7 linked regions of the Sus scrofa genome follow. The protein of the gene in region 7 purifies or fractionates together with the protein of the main gene of each other region. This does not show direct contact. Links are inferred from orthologs where the notes say so. Each region holds a gene or a part of one and is shown on either strand. Other genes may lie near its edges.

Region 1 (2,654 bases), on a different chromosome or scaffold from region 7:
ATAGTAAGGGTTGAAGGTTAAGTGGCAAAGCTCTGACATGTTAATACCTTAAAACTGTATTTTTCTTTAAAGAAGAAAGTATGTTCTAGATGGTCATTTTAAAATTGGTATCCTGTGACAGATGTTTCAAAACAAACTAGTCTAGTTGAGGTATTGAATTCTTATCTATCAGTGTATAGTCTAATGAGTTTGAAGATTGCTTTTCCCCTAAAAATAGAGTTGACAGATTTATTTTGAGGAGGAATATTCTATGAGAGATTTTGTAGGGATAAGCTCATGAAACTAATACAATTCTAATTGAACTCTGCTCCCTGTCCCTAACTGTCAGTGATGGTTTATTTTCTTTCTCAGGAAATGATCAGTCTGTTTATGGTGAATTAAAACTAAGTAACTTAATTTTTTTAACAGGTGAGAAGAAATTTGTTTGTCCAGAATGTTCAAAACGCTTTATGAGAAGTGATCACCTTGCCAAACATATTAAAACACATCAGAATAAGAAAGGTATTCACTCTAGCAGTACAGTGCTGGCATCTGTGGAAGCTGCACGAGATGATACTTTGATTACTGCAGGAGGAACAACACTTATCCTTGCAAATATTCAACAAGGTTCTGTTTCAGGGATAGGAACTGTTAATACTTCCACCACCAGCAATCAAGATATCCTTACCAACACTGAAATACCTTTACAGCTTGTCACAGTTTCTGGAAATGAGACAATGGAGTAAATATTACACAAATACTTATTCATTGTGGTTATTTTTATACAGTAGTGAGAAGAATATTGTTCCTAAGTTCTTAGATATCTTTTTATTGATGTGCAAAAATTTTTGGATTGACAGTAACTTGGTTATACATGACACTGAAATGCCTTACTTTGTATGATATTCCATAGTATATTAAAAATGGTAAAATTGCATGGGTTTTGTAGGTACTTTTGGAATCTAGAAGAAATGAAATTTTACCAAGTTATATAAAGAGAAAATTGAATTTAACAATGCGAATGGTAGTCTAACCAAATGCATCAATCCTGTGTGGTTTAGTGTAAAAATGAGAACATGTTGGTATTTATCTATTGTAAGATAAAAAAAAAAGTTGGTGGGTGAAAGAAATCATGTTATGATAAAAATTTTTGTAATTTTCTTGATGACTGGAATTTTTATTATGCATAACTGACAAATCAAGTTTCCAAGCAAATGTTACATAGTGTAGGCTTTACTTAGCTTATCAATTTGTCATTTTGAAGCTAATTATTTTAATTAGGTTAACTATGTACAATATTTTAAGCATTACTCTTGTAAGATTTTGAAAACTACATTTTAACATGGAACTCTAGGGATAGTCACCTTTTAAATCCTGTCGAAAAGCCATGTTTAAGATTTAATTTGCCAAAATAATGTCTTGTTAATATTCTTTCAGTAACGAAGTTGGGCAATATAACCAATGTTTAAAAAAGTTTAAAATGTATAGGTTGAGGCATTTGGGTGGTAAGAAAATGTTATAGTGTATTATCCCTTTTCTTGAATATTGGAGGACCAAAAAATAAGGTGTATTGCGTCTTAGCAGTGATTTTTAAATCCAATCTTGTTTCCAAAACCCATATGTCTGCCAGGGCCTTAAAAGCCATCATGTAAATTACCAATAAAGTATAACATATGCAAACATAACAAAATTACTTCCATAGTGACGATACTCCAACCATATGGATATTAGTCATAGAAAACTAGAGGTTTTATGATATTTTTTTAAGTCTTTTTTTTGTTTGTTTGTTTGTTTTTGGTCTAGGTAGTCTGCACTTAAATATCAACCATTTTCTTTTTTGCTTTTTCCTTAAAATTTATATGTATCCAATACAATTAATTGAGAAATGTATGTTTTTTATTATGCTGTATTTTCTTTTTATTTTTTAATTATTGTTTATATTTTCAATTATTAAAAAATGTACAAAATAAAGTTTCATTGCTGGTCTTATAAGAGCTATACAAGTTTCCTAAATGTATACCTGTAACTGCAGCAGTTCACCTATTTCAGAAATTTGGAATTCTGTTCATTTGTTATTCTTAAGACCACCTCAAATTTAAAGGCTACCTTATTGTACGTTTAAAGTGTATTATAACAGTGTGGTAGTTAATAAAACACTATTTTTTTTTCTTTTGAGTTTGTTGTATTCCTATGCATTTAAAATAATTGCAGTGATATGGGGTTGGAAAATCTGTGTGATTTATTTTTTCTTAGCATTTTATTTGGCGATTCTTAATTTCAGATACTGAAGTTACCATAAAGAGGTATATTTACTTAAAAAGGAAGGGTAGAGTTCTAGCAGATTACTTTTTTTTTTTTCTTATTAAGTAGAACTTTTGGGAAAAAAACTTGTAACTGTTAGCTCACGTTGATCACTAAGGATTTTATCGATGCCATTTTACAAACCTTGTTTTTTGTTTCCCCTTTTAAAGCAATGCAGAATATTTTGATTTATCAGAAATGTGAGTTTATATGAAGGTTCTTGATAAAAGGCAAGTTTTGTTAACCATGGCAAGAGTTATTTGAAAAGATTTTGTTTTTGAATTTATGTATGTTTAGTCATAAAAGAAGGAAAAATCAACAATATTAATATGAGCATTTGAGATGTTTTTTAAAAATCCAGTTACTTTCTACGA
Region 2 (4,175 bases), on a different chromosome or scaffold from region 7:
TGCGTCCACTCACACTTCTCTGATTTATGGACTTTAAAGATGTATAGACAACAGGGTTGGTTTCAGGATGGCCCATCATGTTTCATCAACTGTACCAACACTTGAGTGCTGGTCACGGCTGTTGCCTTTTAAGGAAGTGATTTTTGGAGTTCCCGTTGTGGCTCAGTAGGTTAAGAACCCGACTAACAGCCATGAAGATGCAGGTTTGATCCCTGGCCTCGCTCCGTGGATTAAGGATCTGGCTTCCGATCAAGCTGCGGTGTAGGTCACAGATGCCGCTAGGATCTTGCGTTGCTGTGGCTGTGGTGCAGGCTGGCAGCTGCAGCTCTGATTTGACTCGTAGCCTGGGAACTGCCATGTGCTTTGGGTGTGGCCCTAAAAAAAAAAAAAAAATCTTTTTACCTGGGAAGAGAGTTATACCGCCCATCCTCATGGCCACCTCGTAGCAACGCAACTCCCAGGACAGTGTGGGTCTGGGGAGAAAGGTCTCCAGAGTCTCCTGGGCCCTGCCCCCGTAACCTCACCCGGGAGACCTGGTTAGCTCCCACCCTGAAAGCCCCCATGACCCTTGGGTGGCAGGTCCCCTCTGGACTCTGGAACTAAGCCCAGGTGCTCTCTCTGGGGCTGAGGCGGTGCTCACCCTGACACCTGCTTCAGCCACATCTGGCTGCTTCCCAGGGACCCCACCCCCACCCCAGACCTAGGCAAGTCCCTGCCCTTGGCTTCGAGCAGCTGTCCTGGGGACTCCTGTCCAGGCTGCTCCGCCCAGACACGCCCTCCTCGGTCCCTGGAACCCAAGCACAAGGCCAGGGTTTCCCAGAGAAACCCTCCCGCGTTTGTGCCGCTGCCTCCCACGACCTTGCAGCCGCCAGGAGTCCAAAGGACATTCAAACCACCGGTACCCAGAAGCGCATTCGCTCGCCCAGCCGCCAGCAGGAAGGTGCGAGACCGGTGCGGCCCCGAGGGTGCGGATGACAGCAAGTTCAGCCCATCAGTCAAGGCCCAGTGGATTACAAGCAGGTGGGGCCTGGCAGGTTCAGGGCTGGTGAACGTGGGGGCAGGTGGGATCTGGAGGGTTCGGGGCAGGTGCGTGTGCGGGCAGGCGGGGCCTTGGGGCTTCTCAGCAAGTGAGTCTGCATGTGCTGGGCAGGTGCATGTGCGGGTGCGGGGCGGCGCGGCCGGCGGGGGCGGGGGAGCCCGCAGGCCGGGCGCGGCGGGCGCGGCGGGCGGGGCGGGCGGGCGCGGCCTGCAGCCGTCCGCGTGGTCCTGCGCGGCGCCCGCGCCTGGAAACAGGAGGCCGCCGCGCCGGAAGCCCCGCCCGCGCGCGCGCCCTGTCCCCGCCCGGTGGAGCGGCTGCTGGCGCGGCGCGGCGGCTCGGCACGGCGGCGCCCGGCGCAGGCGAGCGGGTGGAGCAGCGGACGGCGCCCAGGCCGCCCCACGCGCCGGGCTCGCGGCGGAGCGCGCCGGACTCGTCGGAGCCCGCGGCCGCCCGCGCCTTTCAATGGGCAGCTCGCACTTGCTCAACAAGGGCCTGCCGCTCGGTAAGGCCGCGCGCGCGCATTTCCGGCCGCGGGGGCGGGGCGGGGCGGGGCCGCGGGGGCGGGCGGGGCGGGCGCGGGCCCGGCTTTGTGTGCGAGTGCGCGTGCGCGCCGGCGCCGGCGCGCCTCCGGCCGGGGGCGGGGCCCGGGAGCGCCGCGCGCGTGCGCGTGCTGCTGCGTGCGAGTGCGCGTGCGCCGCCGCCCGACCCGCCTGCGCAGGTGACACAAAGGGGCGCGGGGGCCCTGGGACCCCCGCACCCAGGGTGCAGGCCCCGCCAGGCTGGCGCAGCCCTTGCTGGTGGGGCCCTGCGGAGCGGTCTGGCGCGCCGATCGGGGACCCGGCGTCGCTCGTGGCCGGACTGCGGAGCCGAAGCGGCCCTCCGCGAATCCGCGGCGCGGTGTCTTCCCTCACGCTTTGCTCGCCCTTTCGATCCCCACCGGCTTATGAAACGTCCGAAGTGCTGCGTCTGCCGAGGCGGCGCCCTTCCCGCTCACCAGGCGGAGGTGGCAGCAGGGCGCCCGCCTCCTTCTCTGAGCCTGTCTGTTTCCACCTGAGTACCTAGAGTGGTGTGACCCGCTTCTGTTTGTCCCCAGGCACCTTATGCCGCTCTTGTTTTGAGAAGTGACAGGAGCAGGCACCATCCGTGCCCCCGGCAGCACTGGGGCCCTGAGCCTGGGGCTGGCCGGGGAAGGCCGGGTGGGGGGCCCCCCCGGGGTGGTGTTGGTTTGCTGGCCGCTGTCTACATCCCTATCCGGCCACTTCCGCCGCGTCGTGCCCACCTGTCCTGCCACCTTGCACAGTCCCTGCTCCTCCTGGCTTCCAGTAGCTGGCCTAGGGCCTCCTTGTGATTGGGGTGGCGGGAGAGGCGCCACCCGCAGCTTCTTCCGTCCTCTCCTGCCGCCCAGCCACTGGAGCCTATAGATCAGGGATCGCGGACCAGGTTGGGGGGGGGAACTAGCATGGCCCCTGAGCTTTGGGCGGAGCTTTCTCTAGCTGGTGCCAACCTGCAGGCTAGGGAAGGCGCGCCCCTGGGCTTGCAGAGGGAGGGCCTTTAAGCAGGCAGCCGGAACTTGGCTGGGGCAGCCCCCTTTCTGGTGATGCTCTTCTCTGTGATTGGTTAGGAGCCATCACCCTCGAGAAGCGGGATGGGATGGGTTCGCTTCCGGGTGCTCTGAGTTGAGGAGACCGAGGTGAGCCCCTCATCCAGCTCCTGCTTCTCTCTCTTCTCGGGGTGGCTGGAGAGTCGGGTTGCAGATGGGGGCCCAGAGCCTGGACCACCGTCACATCCATGGAGGCGTCCCCCCCCAGCTCCCTCCTTCTCCCTCTGCACAGGTCGCAGTTTCATTTGCCTGAAAACATATGCAGGCAAACACTAAGGAGGAAGCCGCTTCTCAGCAGCGTGAACGTTTGGGGGTGCCCTGTGGGTCAGTGCAGCCTGTCCACTCTTGTGAGCCTCTGGAGGAGTGACCACAGCAGGCAGGAGCACAGACCTGCCTCCGGGGGCCCTGGCTGAGCCCTGGTGACTGGGGCATAATCTTGGGCCCTTTATGGGACCGTCTGTACGTATCTCTAAAGTGGGCCGGCAGTGTGAGACGTGGGGTCACATGAGTGGGCCCGTGCCAGGGGCAGGGCCCGTGCCAGGGGCAGGGCCGGGACTGGGGACTTGGGGGCAGGGAGGGACACGGCTGGGGGAAGGGCCAGGGGCCAAGGACAGGGCTGGGACCAGGCCCATGGAGCAGAGGACAGGGCAGGGCCGGGGGCAGCGCCTCTGCTGTAGCTGCGTGGGCTCGGCGTCATTGTCCTTCCTGTCCCAGAATGTCAGCTGTGTGGGTCCTGCCGGCCCTCGTCGCGGTGGCGTCTCTGGCTGGGGCCGCCTCGGTCTGGGGCTGCCCTTCCTGCAGGCGGTCTGTCTGTCCACAGGCTGGGTTTTACCGTGGTCTCTGGGCGTGCACGTGTTTTGGTTGGGGCGTCGCTGCTTGGGAAGGCTGGGCTGTGTCTGTCCCCCGGCAGGCACGTGCACCCTTCATTCTCCTGCTCCAGGGAGCAGGGGCGGCTGGGCCGCGGTGTCTGGGCAGCTGGACCTTCCTCCCTCCCAGCTGCGTGCGGGGTTCCCCTTCCCGCCTCTTCAGCCTCAGGACACTCAGGAGGGGGTGCCTGGTTCTGTGGGCAGCCCCTACTCAGCCCCTGGTCCGAGAGGCTGGAGCCACCCCTGTGCCTGCAGCGGGGAGGGTGATTTTCTGATGAGCGGCTGCATGGAGGGCCCGGCCGAGCTGAGCTCCTCTCCGCCCCAGCAGGGCCCTTGGGGTCGGCCAGCAGCAGCTGTCGCTTGGCGGGGGCTTCTTTGGGCAGCTGGCCGCGCGAAGGCACTGGGGCCACGATGGGGCTTTTCTCTCTGATGGTTTGCCCCCTCCCCTGGCCGTCCTGTGTCAGCGCCCTGGGGCCTTGCCTGCCGTGGGACTGAGAGATTTGCCCCCAGAGCCCCTTCCCGGGAGAGCCTAGTGCTGGTCCCTGGCTCCGGGCAGAGGCAGCTGTGTCTGAGGCTTTTTGTCCTGTGGGAACGCTCCTTCTAGAAGACTCCTAGTTTCCCCCGCTGGTGGCGTGGGCGCAGGGCTCAGAGCCCGGGGGGCACGTCCGTC
Region 3 (3,969 bases), on a different chromosome or scaffold from region 7:
GGAGCTCAGGGAGGGCCGCACGCCGCAGACCCAGTGCTGACAGGAGGGGGAAGCAAACGAAAGTGCCGGGAAGGAGGGATTAAAAAGGGAGGGACGTTAAAACCGCTTCTCGTTGCTGATTGGTCACCACAGGACCACTTCCTTTCGCAGCACGCGCTGGGGCGGCGGTTTGCGAGCTCTAAATACCATTCTCCGCCGACCAGATCCCGCTAAGGAGTTCTCAGGTGGGTGGGTTTAACAGCCCCGCGGGTCAACCAGCCGACCTGGCCGGTCTCCCCGGGCAATAGCACTGCACTTCCGGCGAGCGATTTCGTTTTGTACTCCTCCGCCGACGCCATCTGGAAAAGTAGTGCGGCCCGCTCACCCGGTGGGCGGGGGGGGAGTCACGTGACAATGTCAGGCTCCGCCTACCCGTCTCGCCGGGTTGTGGGCGTGAGGGCCCTTTGGAGACGTAAACATTTCCAAGAGAACCAAGTGGCTTGGTCTGGGTGGGCCATTTCATTGTTCGTGCTGGACCTGAAAAAGGGCGGGGCGACTTCCTTGAAGTGTGGAAGACAAGGAAAAGGTGAAGTCAAGAGAGTAAAAACTGAGGCTTCCCAGTAGTGGGTGGATGGACCCACCCTTGAAAGGAGTGAAAAACGGGAGGGATGGTTTGGGTGGGGGGAGGAGAAGGAGGGGCGAGAACATGGCGGATTTCGGAACGCCCGCGGGCGGTGCGGCCTCGGCGCAGGGGCGGGGTGATTAGGTCATAGAGCAGCTCCCAGCGTTCTCTGCGGCGGAGGAGGCGGTCCAGGCTATAAAACCGGCTGCCGGGACGCGGCCGGCACCTCATTCATTTCCACCGGTCTCTTGTCGGGCAGCTTGGGCTCCTGTCATCGCCGTCCCTCCGCCGCTGCCGCCCCCGCAAGGCTTCGCCGTCGTCGAAGCCACCTCCAGCGACTTGTCGCACCCGATTCTCTGTGCTTTGTTTCCCGCCAACCGCAACCATTGACGCCATGTCGAGTTATTCAAGTGACCGAGACCGCGGCCGGGATCGAGGGTGAGTGTGGGAACTGACCTGTCAGGCCCTGTGGGTGGGGGATGGGATGCCGATGCGGGGGGGCGGGGTGGCGACGGGAATTCGGCTTCCTCAGCCTATGTTTGGGCCTCGTCCCTCAAAGGCTTGCGCCATTTTGATATTTTTGAAACTGCCTGGGAGTTTCATGTTAATGGTTCTCGAGATCTCTTCTTTTGTCTGGGATGGGGCATCGCGGCCTCGATGATTTATCAGCTCTTGGGAGAATTCCAAGGAGCGTATTTCGAAGGGAGGGGAGCGCAGCGCTTCGAGGCGGACGAAATCGCTGCTGTTAGGTGCAACCTTTCGGAAGGTGTTTTGGGGGCCCCAGGAATTTTGTGGGTGGCGAGGGGGCCGTCTCCGATGCCGTTATTGCGGCGGGGGCAGGACGGTGACCGGCACCGCGGGAATCGGCCATGTGGCTGAGCCGCGGGTACAAAATGCCGGCATCGGACATGGCGGCGGCGCCTTTGTTACCCCGCCCGGCGGAGGAGCTCAAAATGGCAGCGTCGAGAAAATGTGGCGCAGAGAGAAATGCGAGACAAAGGGGGAAGCGCCGCCCCAGCGGGAACGCCGCCCGGCCGACTCCGCCCGGCAGGGACTCCTCCCCCGGTAGTCTCCAACGCCTCCTTTTCTTTTTCCTTACGTTTATATAATTTTGCTACCTTGATCGCGGTCCTTTCTGGGGCATCTCTCCAAGTCATTCGGCTTGCGTAAGTGTCCGCGAGATAACCCACCTTTTTCTGCTCTGTGTGCTGTTCCGTTATCTATTAAAATCAAAGCTCCTTTGCTTGAGAACAGCTGGTAGATAACATCGCTGTTAGGCTTATCCTTTCTTGTCTTTCTCTCAGATATTTAGTTTTTAAGTTCATGGGAGAGATTAGTAGCCCCAACTATTGACGCTCCTTGTAATCTGAACTTCTGGCATTCGGGCAGCCACTTTCCGACCTGTGAAATCCCGGGCTGATGATTTGGGTTCAATGGCGTGTACTTGGTACAACGGGAAATGAAAAGGATGCGGTGCTAATTGTGGCTTTTGAGAGAATGACCGTCTGTTCCACCTGGAAGTCTTTGATATTTAGCATGTGCCAAGGGGTGGTTAATATGTCTGTACGTGTTCGAAGATGTGACTTTTTAATTTCAGGTTTGGTGCGCCTCGATTTGGAGGAAGTAGGGCAGGGCCCTTATCTGGAAAGAAGTTTGGAAACCCTGGGGAGAAACTGGTTAAAAAGAAGTGGAATCTTGATGAGCTGCCCAAATTTGAGAAGAATTTTTATCAAGAACACCCTGATTTGGCTAGGCGAACAGCAGTAAGTAATTTCATGTGGTTTCTTCAGGCTGTAATTCAATAATTAATAACTTTGCAGTGAATCAAAATCTGACTAGAAGTTCCCTGCACATAACTAAGTTTTGGGGAACTCATGCTGAGTAAGTAAGGATCTTACTTACTTTGGGGAAGAGGAGTTACTACTCACTTTTGGAGACAAGTGACTTTTTCTACTTAAAATGGTTGGGTGTAACGTAATAAGTGGTTTTTGTTTGTTTAGGGTTTTTATATGGATCCAAATTTTAAAAGGCCATCTTAAAGTAGTTAAGTCAATTATGAATTTAGGAGCTTATTGGTTGCATTTTCAGTTAAGGGGAGTTGTCATGAGAAGACAACTGGATTTTTGTAATTTGTTTTGTAGCAAGAGGTAGAGACATACAGAAGAAGCAAGGAAATTACAGTTAGAGGTCACAACTGCCCAAAGCCAGTTCTGAATTTTTATGAAGCAAACTTTCCTGGTAAGTGCTAGTTTTCCCTACCTTAAAAAAAAATTCTTTCTCTCGGCATTTCTAATTTTAACTTACTTGTTTATGATTACAGCAAACGTAATGGATGTGATTGCGAGGCAGAACTTTACTGAACCCACTGCTATTCAAGCTCAGGGATGGCCTGTTGCTCTAAGTGGATTGGATATGGTTGGGGTAGCACAAACTGGATCTGGGAAAACATTATCTGTAAGTTGGGCAACTTGTAATTCTGTGTCGAGTGATTGAGGAAATGGGTTGGAAGTTAAAAGAAACCAGAAATATTTTAATGTGTAACTTCTGTTTGCCCCTTCTCTGAACAGTATTTGCTCCCTGCTATTGTCCACATCAATCATCAGCCATTCCTAGAGAGAGGTGATGGACCTATTGTAAGTATACCTTAAGCTTTGTTTAAAAGTACAGAGATTTGTCCAGTAGAAAGCAAATGACAATTTGTGGTGATTTTAAGTGGAGACGTTAGCTGTTTTGTACCATTTATCTGGAAACAAATCTGCTCTAGGTATTGGACAGCAAAATAAGTCATGTGCTGCTGTAACACTGATATATCATCACTTCAAAAGTAGACTCCGGAACTCTGCTGAAAGGTATTCATTCCACTTTCTCTTTTCTTAGTGCTTGGTGCTGGCACCAACTCGAGAACTGGCCCAACAGGTACAGCAAGTAGCTGCTGAATACTGTAGAGCGTGTCGCTTGAAGTCCACCTGCATCTACGGTGGTGCTCCTAAGGGACCACAGATACGTGATTTGGAGAGAGGTACAAAACAGAAAGTGTTTGATTTGTCACTGGTGGTGCTAAAATTCTAGATGTCTTGGTTACATTTTTGTGTTTAAAGGTGTGGAAATCTGTATCGCGACACCTGGAAGACTGATTGACTTTTTAGAATGTGGGAAAACCAATCTAAGACGGACCACCTACCTTGTCCTTGATGAAGCAGATAGAATGCTGGATATGGGATTCGAACCCCAAATAAGGAAAATTGTGGATCAGATAAGAGTAAGTACTCTTTAAATGTGTCTATCTTTTCAAACTTTGCTCTAAATTTATTCTTAGAATACAAGGCTTTTTCTTTATTCCAAAAATCTTTAGCCTGATAGGCAAACCC
Region 4 (3,500 bases), on a different chromosome or scaffold from region 7:
TTCCTGAAGGATACTTTTTTAGTTTAGAAAGTTCATCTGTTGACAAGAGCTGCCTTTAAAAATAGGAATTAATAAGAATGATTAGTAAACAGCAGTCTATTTCCCTCTGCCTTTTTCATTTTGTTTGGCATTTTTACCCCAGCTCTTAGCACAAGGCAATGAATAGATTACAGCGACAGGGAATACATTTTTAGACCAAAATGTCCTCATAAATGGACCATTAGAAGCACTCTTTAAAAAAATGCATGAGGCCAACAATACTAATTGGTGGCAAACTGTAAAAATCTTAGTTATTAGCATGTAGCTAGTAGAAGGATTCCCACCCATCCACCACCATCACTTTCCTTTATTTTAACCTTCACCAGTTAAGCACAGTAATAAGCTTCCATTTAATGAGTACTGACATTAACAGTTTTAATTGAACTCTGGCCAATCAAAGGCCAAAAATTAATTAAACTACTGCTCTTCCCAGTTAAGGTATTTTAACAACTGTTAAATAAACTAAACTTTTTTTTTTACAATTATTTAAATATTCCTCTCTCCACAGGTGAGATGTTTTCAATTTTGAAGGGTTTTTAAATCATAAATTTAAATACATAAAGGTTAGGCTCACATTTCCTGTCAAAGACTTCCACAAAATTTTGAAATTTTAAAAAAGGTGTTAATGCAAATTTCAGATTTCTTTAGAGGACAGAGATTAAATACCGCATATTTTTATAATATGAACATGAGCGCTTTATAAACCTGAAATTCTGAACAAAGTAAATGAACATGGAATAGCCAAAAGATGTGGCATTTTCATTCTGAAAACCAGTAATTTACTTGTCAATAACAAATGTGTTTTCCTTCAAAATATTCTTGTGACAAGAAAAACATTCCAAAAGGATTTATCTTTTGCTTAACATATAGCAGAATACTCTCTTGCATTAAAGTGCATCCTTTCTAGGTATAATTCACAAATTATGTATAGTTTATATTCATATTTTATGTAGAAATTATTTCCTGATTTCGGTAATCTTTTAGAAAAATCAGATTTTAGCCCATTTAAGGATTCTTCTAAATTTTTAAGCTATAAATATGCAATAATTTATTAAACATGTTCTTTTGATTTTATAAATCAAAGTTAGAGCTCTTACTGCAAGGAAGTTTTTATTATAGTCTTAACTATGGATTTAAGTCATGTAATATAAACACCTGTTGAACATGTACATAAATACCAATCATATACTGCTTAAGTCAAATAGCATACTTAAGTGAAAGTCAGTTTAAGTATAGAGTAAAACGACAGCTTGGATAGTTGAACTGAGACGACAAATAAATTTAGATTTTCAGCAGAAAACAAATACTTCACCTGTCCATAAGTAAAGTCTTCCATAGTGGATACTTATATAATTAAAGGAAAAGAAATCAAAGTGAGTAATTTTATTTTAAAGAATATTAAAAAAAAAAACAAAACAAAACCTTCTCACAGGAGTTCCTGTTCAGTCCTCTCTTGTTTTCAAGCAGATTAAAGTTTTTCAGTCCTCTCAGTGGGTTAAGAACCTGACAAAGTATCTATGAGGATGCAAGTTTAATCCCTGGCCTGGTTCAATGGGTTATAGATCCAGCATTGCCATGAGCTTCAGTGTAGATCGAAGAATGTGGCTCGGACGGTGTTGCTGTGGCTGTGGTGTAGGCTAGCAGCCACAGCTCCAATTGGACCCCTAGCCCAGGAACTTCCATATGCCTCAGAAGGAAAAAAACAAAACAAAACTCCCTCACTGAAATGGCTTCGATTACCTGATATCTTTTCTTACAGTTCTGTTGGTTAGTCTTTGATTACATTTATGATCTTTAATATTTTATATTCACACTTGCCTTTATTTAGAAGAATATATATATCAGTCTCCTGGGGTTGGCCTAACAAAATTCCAGCAATTTAGGTGGCTTCAACAACAGAAATATATTTTCACACAGTTCCAGAGGCCAGAAGTCTGAGATCGGGGCACTGGTGTGCTTGAGTTCCAGAGAGAGCCCTCTTCCTAGTTTGTAGTAGCTGCCTTCTGGCTGTGTCCTCATTTAACCTCATTTATCTCCTCAAAACCTTATCTTCAGATATGATCACATTGAGGGGTAAAGCTTCAACCTGTGAAATGAGGGGCAAGAGGGCCACAGGTCAGACTACAGTAATGTACAACTTTTCCACATTTGTCTAAAAAAACTTGTCTCCCCTGTTACTGTGCTGACATCTTGGTGCAGGACTCAAAAGTTGAGAAATATTTCATAAAAATCACATTGCTTCAAGTAACTTTCTATACAGTTTTATCACTAAATGATCCAATTCCAAAATCTATTGAGCTTGGAAAAGCTGTTTTCAAGCAGATTAAAGTTTTTCAGTCCTCTCTGTAAAGATGGGCATGATTTAATTAGGGTAAAATAGTGTGCTTCGGTTACTTCCTCTGATCCTGCTTAGGGCAAAAGAAGGAGATTTAGTAAATCTATAACATAAAACCTATCTTTGCTTTGAACTTAAGCATGGTTTATATTTGCGAGGAATTGTTAATGCATTTTAATGTATGTTTTAATGTTTCCCTTTTATGTATTGTGTGTGTGTTCCCCGCAGACTCCCAGGCCTTTAAACATCATTAAACAAAACAACGGTGAGCAGATTATTAGGAGAAGAACACGAAAGCGCCTTAACCCAGAGGCACTTCAGGCTGAGCAGCTCAACAAGCAGCAGAGGGGCGGCAGTGAGGAGCAAGTCAACGGAAGCCCCTTAGAGAGGAGGTCAGAAGATCATTTAACTGAGGGTCACCAGAGAGAAATTCCTCTCCCAAGCTTGAGCAAATACGAAGCCCAGGGTTCATTGACTAAAAGCCATTCTGCTCAGCAGCCAGTCCTGGTCAGCCAAACTCTGGATATTCACAAAAGGATGCAACCTTTGCACATTCAGATAAAAAGTCCTCAGGAAAGTACTGGAGACCCAGGAAATAGTTCATCCGTATCTGAAGGGAAAGGAAGTTCTGAGAGAGGCAGTCCCATAGAAAAGTACATGAGACCCGCCAAGCACCCCAACTATTCACCACCAGGCAGCCCTATTGAAAAGTACCAGTACCCACTTTTTGGACTTCCCTTTGTACATAATGACTTCCAGAGTGAAGCTGATTGGCTGCGGTTCTGGAGTAAATATAAGCTCTCCGTTCCTGGGAATCCGCACTACTTGAGTCATGTGCCTGGCCTACCAAATCCTTGCCAAAACTATGTGCCTTATCCCACCTTCAATCTGCCTCCTCATTTTTCAGCTGTTGGATCAGACAATGACATTCCTCTAGATTTGGCGATCAAGCATTCCAGACCTGGGCCAACTGCAAACGGTGCCTCCAAGGAGAAAACGAAGGCACCGTCAAATGTAAAAAATGAAGGTCCCTTGAATGTAGTAAAAACAGAGAAAGTTGATAGAAGTACTCAAGATGAACTTTCAACAAAATGTGTGCACTGTGGCATTGTCTTTCTGGATGAAG
Region 5 (3,943 bases), on a different chromosome or scaffold from region 7:
GCCAGACTTGGCTATTACATTAACAAGAAAATTAAAACTTACTGTTGCAGGAGCTGGGGTGGGAGGTGGGGCATAAGATGGTCTTTCTGTTTGAAAGAAAATAAATAACTTCTTGTAAACAACTGAGATATAATACTATGCAACAAAACTACCAATGGTCCTGTTTTGAAGAAAAAAAATGAGAGTATTTTGGAATTCCCATTTGCTAGGGCATTAGTCTCTTATTAATATAGATTGATAAATATAAAAAATGAAACTTACTTGACATTTTGGAAGATTAAGTTCTCAGTTCCTTAAGAATGAATCTGAGACACTAAAATAAAAAAAAGAAAAAAAAAGAAAAAAAAAGATAATCAAAACTCGGTAAGCAGAAGAGAGAATTTTTCCCTAAAGAAAAGGGTAGTTTAATTGGTATTTCTTAGTAAAATTACATTATCTTCTAGTAATCAAGCTTTTTAAAATTTTTACTAGCCTTTAGGTCATTTGGTTGATCAGAATTAAATGACTAAAACAAATTACTGGGGATATTAAAAAGTAATATTAGGCATGTACTCAAAAGGTTTTGTTTTTTTTTTTTTGGGATACCGAGCCACCTCTTGTATTGAAAACAATTTGCCGATGCCATGGCAATACTTAACCAGATTGATAAAAATATAGTGACAATAGAATGTGATGTATTATCGGGGCCTACCTCAACAAGGCCTACCAGATCAGCCGCAGCTCTGCCTTCCTTTTGGGACAACAACTTCTATTAAAATGGAGCCATATTTTATTCCGGGAGGCAGTGCAAAAGGCAATTGGTGTGGTCATGAACTTTACATTCTCTTACGGTGATAAATAGCTTTATAACTGCTGGGAATACATTTTGAGAGTCTCCCTGAAAAAACTCTTTATTAAACCTTTCAGCCCGTTTCAAAATGTAGCTTCCTCAATGGAGCTTTCCTGACAAATCACTCGTGCAGAATGAATTGCTTCCTCATCTGCACTCCTACCCAATTTACACAGCTCTATGGTATCCTATTAAACCTGTTCACACGGCTAGACTGGAAACAGGGACCATCGAATTCATTATTGTAGTCCCAGGACCCGCCTCAATCCTTGAGGAATTTTGTCTTGGTATTACCAGCCCACTGCGTGACCGTGCACACACGAGCATCTTCCTTACCTCAAAACATATCACACACGGTGCCTACAAAGACATGTCATTTTTTTTTTTTTAAAGGCAAACAACTTGTATGGCTATTGGAGTACTTTCATCCAACATTATGTGAAACAAACATGATTTTAGTTTTTTGCTTCTATTTTGCATTTGAAGGGAATTCCTGAAGCATTATGAATAAGAGGCATGGTGTGGAAAAAAAAAAAAAAAAAAAAAAAGGTGTTTCTCAATGGCCCGACCTGGGAATCTCCCTCTCTCCTTAAGGAACAGGCAGGAAACTACTGAGTCAGGTGCAGATTTCCTCCCTGCTCACTTTCAGGTAGGCTGTCAACGTCCAGTAGGCCTTGCTGTGGGGAGCCCTGACAATAACTGCCACAGACTCCCTGGTACATCACACTTGATTGTTAATACTTTAAAATTACTGATCTCCTTTGCTAGACTCTAAACTCCATGAGTGAACTTGTACATTTGTCCACCACCGGATCCATCCCTGGATCCGGCGCCTGGCATAAAACCCTAGATAAATATTTGAATACCTTACACCGGGACAGGCTTATTACTTACACCATCTGGTTTCACAGTCACAACTACCAACGAGATGTGTGTATTCCCATTTTACAGAGGAAAAAAAGGGAGTCTCAGCGAGTTTAAGTAACCTGTCCAAAAACACACCGCCAAAAAGCGCCAGAGTTGGGTTTCAAACCCAGGCCAGTCTGTTTCCGAACCACATCGTGAGTCCTCAGCTCGCTGCCTGAAGCAAGGGGAAACAACCTTCCTGGGGGTGAGGAGCACGGGCTTGGCTTGCCCCAAGGGCTTCCTCTGAGGTCGTATCCTTTAGGTTTGTTGTGAAGGATGCACTTGAGCAGCAACTCTACTAAAGAGGAGTGGGCAGGGGTGCTTTGATCAATTTCGCGGGGTTAGTGGAAGGGGCGCATCTGGCCGCTAAGAAGGAGCCCCAGATGGGACTGCTTCCCCACCCTCGCTCCGCTAGGCCTCGGAGAGGCCGCAACTGGCCCCTGGCTCCGGCCCCGCGGCCGAGCCTGAACCCCAGCAACCCCGGGGAACTCCGGGTCCGGCCAAGCCAGGACACCACGCCTCGGCACCCTCCCAACCCAGTCCGGCCCAGTCGGGAACACTCACCCGCGGGCAGAAAAAGCGCCCGCAGCTCCGGCCTCGCTTCCCTTTGTCCCGCGCACGCCCCGCCCCTCGCGTCCGGAGCTTCCGCACTCGCACTTTCAACACTCTTCTGAATTCCTTTCCAAGCCCCACCAGACTCTCTTTAGAAAAATAAACCTTCTCGAGGGGGCGCGGTGGTGCTTAGTACAGTCAAGGATTTTTTTCAGGCTCCATGTGTTCCTCAAAACTCCCCGAATTTGGGCATTTGCCAGCCGGCGCCGATTCGTCACGGCGGAGAGGGCGGAGGTGGCCCGACCGCGGGGCAGGCCCGGACCCCGGGCGGTGAGGAGCTGGAGCGGCAACCGGTGACGCGGCGGGAGGTGCGAGGCTGCGCCGAGGGGAGGTGGGAGCGCGGCCTCGGCTTCCCCGCGCGGGGCCGGAAGGCGGCGGGAAGCGCGCCCGGCCGCGAGCCCCGGAACCACTGTGGCCGCGCGGGCCGCGCGCCACCCGGGCGAGGCTGGGGCTGCGCACGCTCCCGCCTCCGCGGGCTTTTTTTTTTCTTTTCTTTTTTTTCTTTCTTTCTTCCGGTCTTCGTTCCTGTTTCTGTGGGAGCCGGAGTGTATACGTCAACAAGTCGGGGATGGAGGCGTGGAGCGCCCGGTTCGCCGAGTTTGCGTTGTCCCGCGCGCCTCCCAGGGCTGCCTGCCTTAAAGGCCGGGCAGGAGCTTGGCGAAAGCACCGTGGCACTTTTCTAGGTCTCCCAAGCGCGAGCCTGGTGTGACTGGCACAGGTTTCTGATCCAAGGCCCGGAAATGTTAATCCTCTTGCCCCAGGTTGTGTACCCTTGCAGCTCTTGGCAAGGGTCCCTGTCCCAAGGCGCCTTGGCTCATTCGGTTCCCTCCCCTGGGAACGATGGTTTTCACTTTTTAGCTTAAATGCAAGTGACCTTCTGGATCCAGCTCAAATTCTGTTTGTGATGCCCTTCGGAAGCTCTCTTCTCCACCCTTAATCCTTCCTCTAACTCCCAAGGTTCTTTGGTAGCATTATTATAGACTTTACCTGATACATTGTATCAGACCGTCTTTGTCATCTTCCGTTTAACAGGAGAGCCTCCAAAGCAAAGGTTCAGTCTTGATCATCTTGGCATCGCCAGTACCCAGGAGGAGCTTGACTCATTGTCAGATGATCAGTAAACACGTTATGGAGGCAGATTCTGGCCTAGACCAGGGCTCTTTCTACTAAATCATAAATAAGTTGGTTTACTGAATGGATAGTAGCCTTTCCTTGGATATATAAACACTTGGCCGATGTTGCAGGCCACAGTGGAGGGAGAAGGATCTGAAATTACCCGAAAACACTGTTGACGTTTAGAGTGACTGCGTGAATTCCTCTGCTACCCTTAGCCGCCATCCGCCATCCTGAGTGTGCCATCAGAGACTAGGGCAACTCTAGAAGTCTGCCAAGCCAGAGAACGAGTGACTCTCTGTCTAGTTCTTCCACCTCCAATATTTTTATACTCATGATTAGAGATGAGTGAAATTGAAAAGCATATTGAAGGGAAAGACTGAAAAAGAAATCATCAAAGGATGACGGGCAGCCTGAGTGGTGCTTGTGGTAATGTACACGAAGTTGCTTTTTTAAAATATAAAGGCATTGGAGTTCCCTGGT
Region 6 (4,276 bases), on a different chromosome or scaffold from region 7:
GGTGAATGGAATTACCACTTTGGTGCCATTTGCTCTCTATGGATCTGCCTGGGCATGAACTCTACCTCCTGATAAACTTCTGGCCCCCGACAGAGAGTTTCCGAACTGAGGCAAGACTGGCTGTTGACTAGGCCAATCCTTTTTTCACATTCTGGCACATGCCCTGGTTAACAAAAAAATGGTAATCCTTCGTATGACTCATCGGGATAAAACCAAGAGCTATGACTTGCCTGAGGGCGCCTCATGCTTCAGCCCTGCTCAGCTGTTCCAAAGATGAGGGGATTCGCCTCAAGAGCACAGCTGTATTTTATTCACAGCACCTCAGCTGGGAAGCTTTGACATGGCAACACACAGCATTTGCCAATGAGGGAAAAACATGTTCTCAAACAAGACAATCTCTTATTATAAGTAAATATCAAGAGACAAAAGAGACAGTTTCTAAGCCAATGTTTAATGGTTGCAATTCCGGCAAACTCTTCTCTGATGTCTTTGTGCCTTTGCACAAGCTGTTTCTCTTTTCTTGGTATTTCTTTAACATAATGTAATGGACAAGTCGAGTCAAATATATCTGTGTTCAAATCCTCTACCACCTATCATCTCTGTAGTATCAGGCAAATTAATTAACTCCTCTGCACCTGTTTTCCGCACTGGAAAGTAGAATTCGACTACGACTCAGTTTAAGGGGATGTTGGTGAGGATTAAGTAAGATAATTATGTAAAATGGCCAGAACAATTCTTTATACATATAGTAAGCCCTCCTTAAATGTTAGGTCTGTCTGGCTAACTTCCATTCAAATGCTACTGCTCCTCGGAAGAAGTCCCTTAAACATTTCAACCGTGGCTTCAGTTTTCACAGCGCGATTAAAACACTTAGCACCCGATAATCAGTTCTTTGCTCACAGCTCCCACCCCTTTCCCTAAAAAGAGCTCTAAAAGGCCAGTCATTGTCCCCTCCTTGGGATCTCCTAGGGGTTGGCCAAACTCAGCTCCTAACAGGCATTCCAGAAGTGTTTTTGTTTTGGCCGATTCGCTTAACGGATTGGGCGGGAGGAGGGCGGGCGAAAGCGAGGGCGACGCCCGCGGAGGAGAGGGGCGTGCCGGCCCAGGGTGCGCTCGCCCGATATTCCCCGCGGGCTCGAGCCGGGCCCCAGATCCACCCGCAGATTGAGGTGGGGCCCGCTCTCACCCACCAGGCTGGGTAGCGCCCGGTTACCGGCACCCAAGCCTGGAGGGGCGAGTTTCGGCGCGAGGCAGGTTCAGGCGGCGGCGGCTGCCTCAGGGAGCGCGCCTGGATCTCCAGGCCCGGGTTCCCCGCCCGACCGCGCGCCCTCGCCCCGCGCCCCGCTCGGCGCCCCGGTGCCCTCCAAACGCCAGCGGGCCCGGGAGCCTCGCGGACGTGACGCCGCGGGCGGAAGTGACGTTTTCCCGCGGTTGGACGCGGCGCTCGGTTGCCGGGCGGGGGAGGGCTCGTCCGGTTTTTCTCAGGGGACGTTCAAATTATTTTTGTAACGGGAGTCGGGAGAGGACGGGGCGTGCCCTGACGTGCGCGTGTCCTCCTGCCCCGGCCCTCCTTCAGCGCTCGCCGGCACCGGCCCTGGGAGGGCGTCATGCCGCCCAAAACCCCCCGGAGAGCAGCCGCCGCCGCCGCCGCCGCCGCCGCTGCTGCTGCGGAGCCCCCGCCGCCGCCGCCGCCGCCGCCGCCACCGCCGCCACCGCAGCCTGAGGAGGACCCCGAGCAGGACAGCGGCCCCGAGGACCTGCCTCTGGTCAGGTGAGCGAGCCGACCCGTCGCGGCGGCCAGCGCGCGGGAAGGGCGCCCCGGGGGTGCGTCGGCGGGCGCCGCGGCGTCTAGGCGGGGGCGCGTCTCCGCCCGGGCCGGGTCCCGGCGGGAGGAGGGTCCTCCCCGGCCCCCCGCGGCGGCGGAGCGCCGGGAGGAGGCTGACAGGGGTCTGGGGTCGGGAACGAGGGGAGGGCGGCCGGGAGGGGTTTCGGCTCCCGCTTGACAGGTGTCGAGCGGGTGGGGCTCGGGTCGCTGAGCGAAGTGACAGGTGCCGCCTTTCCTCCGCGAGACGGGAGCCTCGCAGGCGGCGGGTCGTTTGCAGACCCCATCAAATGCAGAAGAAAGAAAAAAAGAAAAGAAAGACTAGATTGCTGGAGAGGTTTTTCCCCATTTGAGATTTGTAGTCCTCCGGTGGTCTTTCGACTTTCTGTTTTGGTCTCCCGCGGTGCAACATTTGGAAGTGTTTTCCTCTGGGCGTGCGACTCATCTGAAGCCCAGTCCTGGGAGAGGCCAGCCAGGAAAACCTTGGATACTGCTGCAGAGATGCCACCGGACGTGAAGTGCAGGGTTCTGGGTGGCAGTTGCCCCTCCGGGAGCTCGGCTGGGGTGCTTTTCGGGGTTCCCTTGTAAAGAGTGCTTTGAGTTCTAAGCCTTCGGTAGTGACTGGTGGAACATAGCTCTCTAAGAGGAACTTGTTGTATCGGTAAAAGTTTTGTGAGACATTTAGCTCAAGAGCTTCGAAGTTTCTGAACGTTCTCATTTTTCTTGTTGCATAAAACTCTTCTTGCATGATAGTCTGCTTCAGGCTGCCTCTTTTTTTCTTCCATTTTGCCTTTTGGCTTTGAGCCAGCAAGGATCTTGGTGTCTCTTTTGTATTTGTTTGGGAACAAGATTAGTGTTCTTGTGCTCACATAAAATTAATTTTCCCCCCAGGTGGATTCTAAATTTCAGCGAGTCCATGATAATATAGGGAGATAGTTATTGCAGCATCTTATTTTTCTTGATTGTGATGCTTTACGGTTTAGAAGCCAAGATCGAAAGAGTGTAATTGTCATTATCATTGTTAGCACTGGCCCTCCTTTGAGACTACGCATCAATTGCCAGGGGATGGGACTCTGCTGATCCTCACCACTCTTTCCTGCAGTTCTGATCCGTCAGCAAGTCCTATTTCTTTCACCGCCCTAGGACACATTGTTAGGGACTGAAGTGGGCTTTTGGAAATACCAGAACAGCACACAGTCTTCATTCTTGAGATAACCAAAAGTTAATTGTGTTTCAAAGGAGGTTTGGCAGTCTGGAATAGGGTCAGGGGCATGGATTAGAGAGTTAGATTACTGGGTTTATATTAGAGCTTCCCACTTACTCGCTGTGATCTCAGGTGAGTGCTTTAACTTCTCTGATTTGTGATCATCAGAGTACTTACCTGTTAGGGCTTATGTATGTATTAAACCATGCATCTAAACCCCATCAATTCATTTAAATCCTGTTCATATGGAGCATAGTAAATACTAAAAAATTATTAGCTGTTCCTTGTACTATACTATTCTTATGTCAAATAGATATTAAGTGAATGAATAAGAATTAGCCAACAAGAATTTTTTGACTGCCTATCTTGGTTAAGGAAGATCAAGGAGAAAAGGCTGAAATAAGCATATCAATAATTTAATCATATAAGAAACACTAGTAGTAGGTAGAGAGATTAAATGAATCGTTGTTGAGAGTGGACTGCATTTTAGCAAAGTCACCGATACTGAATTGGTTCTGTAATGTTATCTATGGCTTTCCTTTTCTGTTACTGTCCCAATTTTTCCTAACAGCTGTAGCTATTGTACTTGCTTTTCTTCCCAAAGCTATGTTGCTGCACTGAAGTTCCTATGATTTACCAGGCCAGCAAACATTTTTCACTATGTGGTACTCTTATTTTGGAAATACTGAAAAGATCAACATACGTTTAAATTCTAAGTGTAATTTTTTAAGCGATAGTTAAGATCCCAAAGTATTTGGTGATGTCTTTCAGAATAGTGCTATATTATATGCAAACCAGTGAAACCAATGCTTACGTAATTAATTTGATTATAAAAGTGCCTTTTATATTATATTTTCATTTGGTAGGCTTGCATTTGAAGAAACTGAAGAACCTGATTTTACTACATTATGTCAGAAATTAAAGATAGCAGATCATGTCAGAGAAAGAGCTTGGTTAACTTGGGAGAAGGTTTCATCTGTGGATGGAGTATTGGTAAGGATTGTCTTAAAATTTTTTGAAAATATTTTTCTCATTTTAAAAATTATTTTAAATCACCATAGAAAATTTGGAAAATAGAAAAATATAAACTAAAGCTAGGAACAAGTCTATTATTCAGAGGTAACTTACTTCTGATAAAACTAAAAATTAAGGAAAAAAACTCCCTATGTTAGCTCCCCACCAAAAGCATTTTAAAACAACTCATAAATATCATATTTTATTTGTAAATACTTCATTGTGCCATAAAGACT
Region 7 (3,500 bases):
TTTCTACAAGCTACATGGTCAAAATTAACAGGTCAACTGAAACCTGTGCTCACTGCCATTACTGCACATTGGTATCAGGTATCCATCAAGAAATGTACCACGGAGTTCCAGTCATGGTGCAGTGGTTAACGAATCCGACTAGGAACCATGAGGTTGCAGGTTCAATCCCTGGCCTTGCTGCTCAGTGGGTTAAGGATCTGGCGTTGCTGTGAGCTGTGGTGCAGGCTGCAGACGCGGCTCGGATCCTGCACTGCTGTGGCTCTGGTGTAGGCTGGCGGCTACAGCTTCAAATGGACCCCTAACCTAGGAATCTCCATATGCCATGGGAGCAGCCCACGAAAATGGCAAAAAGACAAAAAAAGAAATGCACCAGGTGCTGAGAATACAGAGATTTAAGACACTGTATTCTCTAGCCATGAACACGTCAATCCAGCAGAGAGCTATATAAAATCCCTCATGAGGTGCTATACTACGATGTCTTAAAATAAAATAAAATGATCAAGGTATGTATTAGTGCTCCGGGAACTCAGAAAAAAGATAATACTTTCTGGTAGCAAATTCAATGCCCTAAAGCATCTATTTTCTCAATAAACTGACAGCATTTTTAAAGTTAAGACATCAGAAAGTTATGATCTCCCAGCCCAGCTTCCAAATCCCTTCCTTTCTATAGTTTTTGTTTCCTTCAAACAATTTCTGAACAAAGCCTATTCTCTGAGCCTTTTCAAAATGGTGAAACTGGTATAAGGATAGATAATGTGGCCCTTTTGTGTTTTATTCCTATCAAATAAACTTACAGGTAGTTAAAAACTCTCTTAGGATTTCAGCTTTGCTGACAGGCTACAAATGGATCTAAAACTACCTTGTCCTCTCTCTTACCCAATCTGTATCATAATGCAATGTTGACTATTTTAAGCCTATGTCACTAAGAAGAGATCGTTTCCTATATTATAAAAGCAAATGTGACTAATAACATTTAGCTCTAAATAACATGGGGGGGGTGTCACCTACTTGGCACACCTACCCCCTCTCCAATACCCGTGCAATTGACCTCAGGATCTCGTAACAACTGCAGTGCAGCTCATTTTTAAAAATTTACAATTAAAACACATTTACCTGCTTTTTTGTCCTCTGTTTCCTTCTTGTCTTCTTCAATTCTAGCTTTCTTTGCTCCTTTCTTATGATCAGCCACATTTCTACGGCCTCCTTCCCCTTCGTCCTCTGAATCTGAGAATTCTTCATCACACGCTATCCGTTTGTCTGATGCTCGAACTAATACATTAAAGATTTTTAATATAGTTTTGACAAAAGCAATCTCAATGTCTGACAACTGTTATAGTGCACTCCTGTACAAATGAACTAGCCAGTTACAACATTTAAAAGTATAGAAGTTCCCGATGTAGTTCAGTGGGTTAAGAACCAGACAGAGTGTCCATGAGGATGCAGGTTTGACCTCTGGCCTCGCTCAGTGGATTAAGCATCCAATGTTGCTGTGAGCTGTGGTACAGGTTGCAGATGCAGCTCTGATCTAGTGTTGCCGTGGCTGTGGCGTAGGCCTCAGGTACAGCTCTGATTCGACCCCTAGCCTGGGAACTTACATATGCCACAGGTGCAGCCCTATAAAGAAAAAAAATTTGGATAACAGATGCCTAATGATTTTGAGATAAGAACTGAATGTATGGCTTGCTAAATTCTGAAAATACAGCTTTAATCCAGGAGTAATTCAAAGTTACTCCTCATTAAAAAACAAAACAAACTGCTTAAGAGGAAAAAAAAAATTGTGCTTTCCTAATAGGAAGTGGGAATGATATCTTCATATAAAAAGTAACCTTTTTATTTCAGAGCAGAGAGAAATAAAAAATACTGTTAACACCAAGTATAGACCACACAATTATGCTATAAATCTACACATCATAGCAAGTGAAATTAGAGACTGTAACATCAAACAGAAGGTGCTCAATGTCATTCAACTCACTCTACATAAATGGTTCATTTGTGGAAACTTCTGATCATATATGTAGTTATATAAACTGAAATTGCTGATACTCAAATTAGGCTCTGAGACAGTGGAAATTAAATCTATGGAAGATTAAAGAGGGCAAGAAAAGACAGTAGTAATAGTATACTCACGAAACGTGAACCACAGTGAGGTTCTTGGGCCACCAAAAAAAAAACCTTCAATTTGTAGTGATCTTTTAATAAACCAGAAAATATAACAGAACCCACATAAGGGCACTATCTTACTAGAAATTCTCTTGTCTGGATCTTCTCCATCTTCATCTCCACTGTCTTCATGAACTGCATCTTCTGGAATAGCTTGCATTTGGACACCAGGTGCATGAGGCAACATGCGTAAATTTTCAAATAAACGCTGTCTAAATTACAACATGTACAATTATTAGAAAATATTATTTTCTTTCAAGGCCCTTTTAAATGTAAGAGGAAACATTAAGCAAAAACTGGCTCTTCTATCTAGCTTAACCTATGAAGTAAAATATTATCATTTACTAAACAGATACTTTACATATTACTAACCCTTAAAATTTACATGATATATATTTCACCCCCCATCTTAAGGAGAAGGAAATATAAACACAAAGGCAGGTTAACTTGCCAAATGTCACGGAGCTGCTGTGTGGTATAGAGGACACAAACCCAGGCCTGGGTAGTACAATGTCTAACACTTTACTCTTTAAGGTAAAGCGTTATCAAAATGTTTCAATACAGATAAATTTCATTTTCGTGTAAAGCAAGAAAGTTTAAAATTTGGTGTCCTTTTCAATTTAAAAATCCATCTTGGCGTTCCCACCGTGGTGCAGCTGGTTAAGGATCCAGCATTGGTGCACTCTGGCTTGAATTTGTTCCGTGGCTTGGAACTTTCATATGCTGCAAGCTAGCCAGAAAGTAAGAAAAATCTATATCGACTAATACAAGATGTAAATTTTGTTTTGTTTTGTTTTGTTTTAGGGATGCACTGGCCGCATATGGAGTTTTCCCAGGCTAAGGGTCCAATCAGAGCTGTGGCCGCCAGCCTACACCACAGCCACAGCAATGTGGGATCTGAGCCACCTCTGTGACCTACACCACAGCTCACAGCAATGCCAGATCCTTAAACCACTGAGAGAGGCCAGGGATTGAACCCGCAACCTCAGTTTTCTAGTCGGATTCGTTTCTACTGCGCCATGATGGGAACTCTGAAAACTCCGAAAATGTATGAATCCCATACATTCTCCATTATCGTATAAAATTAAATCAATAAAGTTTTCAACTGCTTTTGACAAAGATAAATACCTTACATATAAAGCTTAACATGACCTACTGCACTTGGCCTTCGAAAGGCTCCTAAAGCTATATCAAGATGAGGGTTTATCAAATCAATTCAATGATGTCTTACTTTATCTTTTCCATATATTCTGGAGTGTTCTGGTTTGTCATGTTTGAAGGACTAATATGCAGCTTGAAGTCCGGTCCAAAATACTCAAAGTAATCATTATATGGCAATT

Evidence for each region.
Region 1: the proteins of HDAC2 (region 7) and SP3 purify together in Homo sapiens (affinity purification with western blotting; 3 studies listed by BioGRID). This does not show direct contact. The link is inferred for Sus scrofa from reciprocal best matches to the Homo sapiens genes HDAC2 and SP3.
Region 2: the proteins of HDAC2 (region 7) and CTBP1 purify together in Homo sapiens (affinity purification with western blotting; 7 studies listed by BioGRID and IntAct, with this or other methods). This does not show direct contact. The link is inferred for Sus scrofa from reciprocal best matches to the Homo sapiens genes HDAC2 and CTBP1.
Region 3: the proteins of HDAC2 (region 7) and DDX5 purify together in Homo sapiens (affinity purification with western blotting; 3 studies listed by BioGRID, with this or other methods). This does not show direct contact. The link is inferred for Sus scrofa from reciprocal best matches to the Homo sapiens genes HDAC2 and DDX5.
Region 4: the proteins of HDAC2 (region 7) and TRPS1 purify together in Homo sapiens (co-immunoprecipitation; 4 studies listed by BioGRID and IntAct, with this or other methods). This does not show direct contact. The link is inferred for Sus scrofa from reciprocal best matches to the Homo sapiens genes HDAC2 and TRPS1.
Region 5: the proteins of HDAC2 (region 7) and SMARCE1 purify together in Homo sapiens (co-immunoprecipitation; 3 studies listed by BioGRID and IntAct, with this or other methods). This does not show direct contact. The link is inferred for Sus scrofa from reciprocal best matches to the Homo sapiens genes HDAC2 and SMARCE1.
Region 6: the proteins of HDAC2 (region 7) and RB1 purify together in Homo sapiens (affinity purification with western blotting; 4 studies listed by BioGRID and IntAct, with this or other methods). This does not show direct contact. The link is inferred for Sus scrofa from reciprocal best matches to the Homo sapiens genes HDAC2 and RB1.

The regions. Positions count from the first base shown.
Region 1 is NC_010457.5:79,935,486-79,938,139, reverse strand, and holds the end of SP3 (transcription factor Sp3), read left to right. Parts: intron 1-408; coding exon 409-725; 3' UTR 726-2,154; downstream 2,155-2,654. UniProt on the Homo sapiens protein: Transcriptional factor that can act as an activator or repressor depending on isoform and/or post-translational modifications. Binds to GT and GC boxes promoter elements. Competes with SP1 for the GC-box promoters.
Region 2 is NC_010450.4:493,128-497,302, reverse strand, and holds the start of CTBP1 (C-terminal-binding protein 1), read left to right. Parts: upstream 1-1,375; 5' UTR 1,376-1,501; coding exon 1,502-1,541; intron 1,542-2,682; exon of another isoform or gene 2,683-3,098; intron 3,099-3,896; exon of another isoform or gene 3,897-4,175. UniProt on the Homo sapiens protein: Corepressor targeting diverse transcription regulators such as GLIS2 or BCL6. Has dehydrogenase activity. Involved in controlling the equilibrium between tubular and stacked structures in the Golgi complex.
Region 3 is NC_010454.4:14,571,562-14,575,530, forward strand, and holds the start of DDX5 (probable ATP-dependent RNA helicase DDX5), read left to right. Parts: upstream 1-1,169; 5' UTR 1,170-1,588; coding exon 1,589-1,767; intron 1,768-2,198; coding exon 2,199-2,364; intron 2,365-2,742; coding exon 2,743-2,839; intron 2,840-2,921; coding exon 2,922-3,055; intron 3,056-3,168; coding exon 3,169-3,234; intron 3,235-3,478; coding exon 3,479-3,620; intron 3,621-3,699; coding exon 3,700-3,860; intron 3,861-3,953; coding exon 3,954-3,969. UniProt on the Homo sapiens protein: Involved in the alternative regulation of pre-mRNA splicing; its RNA helicase activity is necessary for increasing tau exon 10 inclusion and occurs in a RBM4-dependent manner. Binds to the tau pre-mRNA in the stem-loop region downstream of exon 10.
Region 4 is NC_010446.5:23,153,627-23,157,126, forward strand, and holds part of TRPS1 (zinc finger transcription factor Trps1), read left to right. Parts: intron 1-2,602; coding exon 2,603-3,500. UniProt on the Homo sapiens protein: Transcriptional repressor. Binds specifically to GATA sequences and represses expression of GATA-regulated genes at selected sites and stages in vertebrate development. Regulates chondrocyte proliferation and differentiation.
Region 5 is NC_010454.4:21,783,267-21,787,209, reverse strand, and holds the start of SMARCE1 (SWI/SNF-related matrix-associated actin-dependent regulator of chromatin subfamily E member 1), read right to left. Parts: upstream 2,801-3,943; 5' UTR 2,300-2,800; intron 314-2,299; 5' UTR 269-313; coding exon 262-268; intron 87-261; coding exon 43-86; intron 1-42. UniProt on the Homo sapiens protein: Involved in transcriptional activation and repression of select genes by chromatin remodeling (alteration of DNA-nucleosome topology).
Region 6 is NC_010453.5:19,314,836-19,319,111, reverse strand, and holds the start of RB1 (retinoblastoma-associated protein), read left to right. Parts: upstream 1-1,476; 5' UTR 1,477-1,607; coding exon 1,608-1,771; intron 1,772-3,892; coding exon 3,893-4,019; intron 4,020-4,276. UniProt on the Homo sapiens protein: Tumor suppressor that is a key regulator of the G1/S transition of the cell cycle. The hypophosphorylated form binds transcription regulators of the E2F family, preventing transcription of E2F-responsive genes.
Region 7 is NC_010443.5:79,870,598-79,874,097, forward strand, and holds part of HDAC2 (histone deacetylase 2), read right to left. Parts: coding exon 3,392-3,500; intron 2,373-3,391; coding exon 2,242-2,372; intron 1,270-2,241; coding exon 1,114-1,269; intron 1-1,113. UniProt on the Homo sapiens protein: Histone deacetylase that catalyzes the deacetylation of lysine residues on the N-terminal part of the core histones (H2A, H2B, H3 and H4).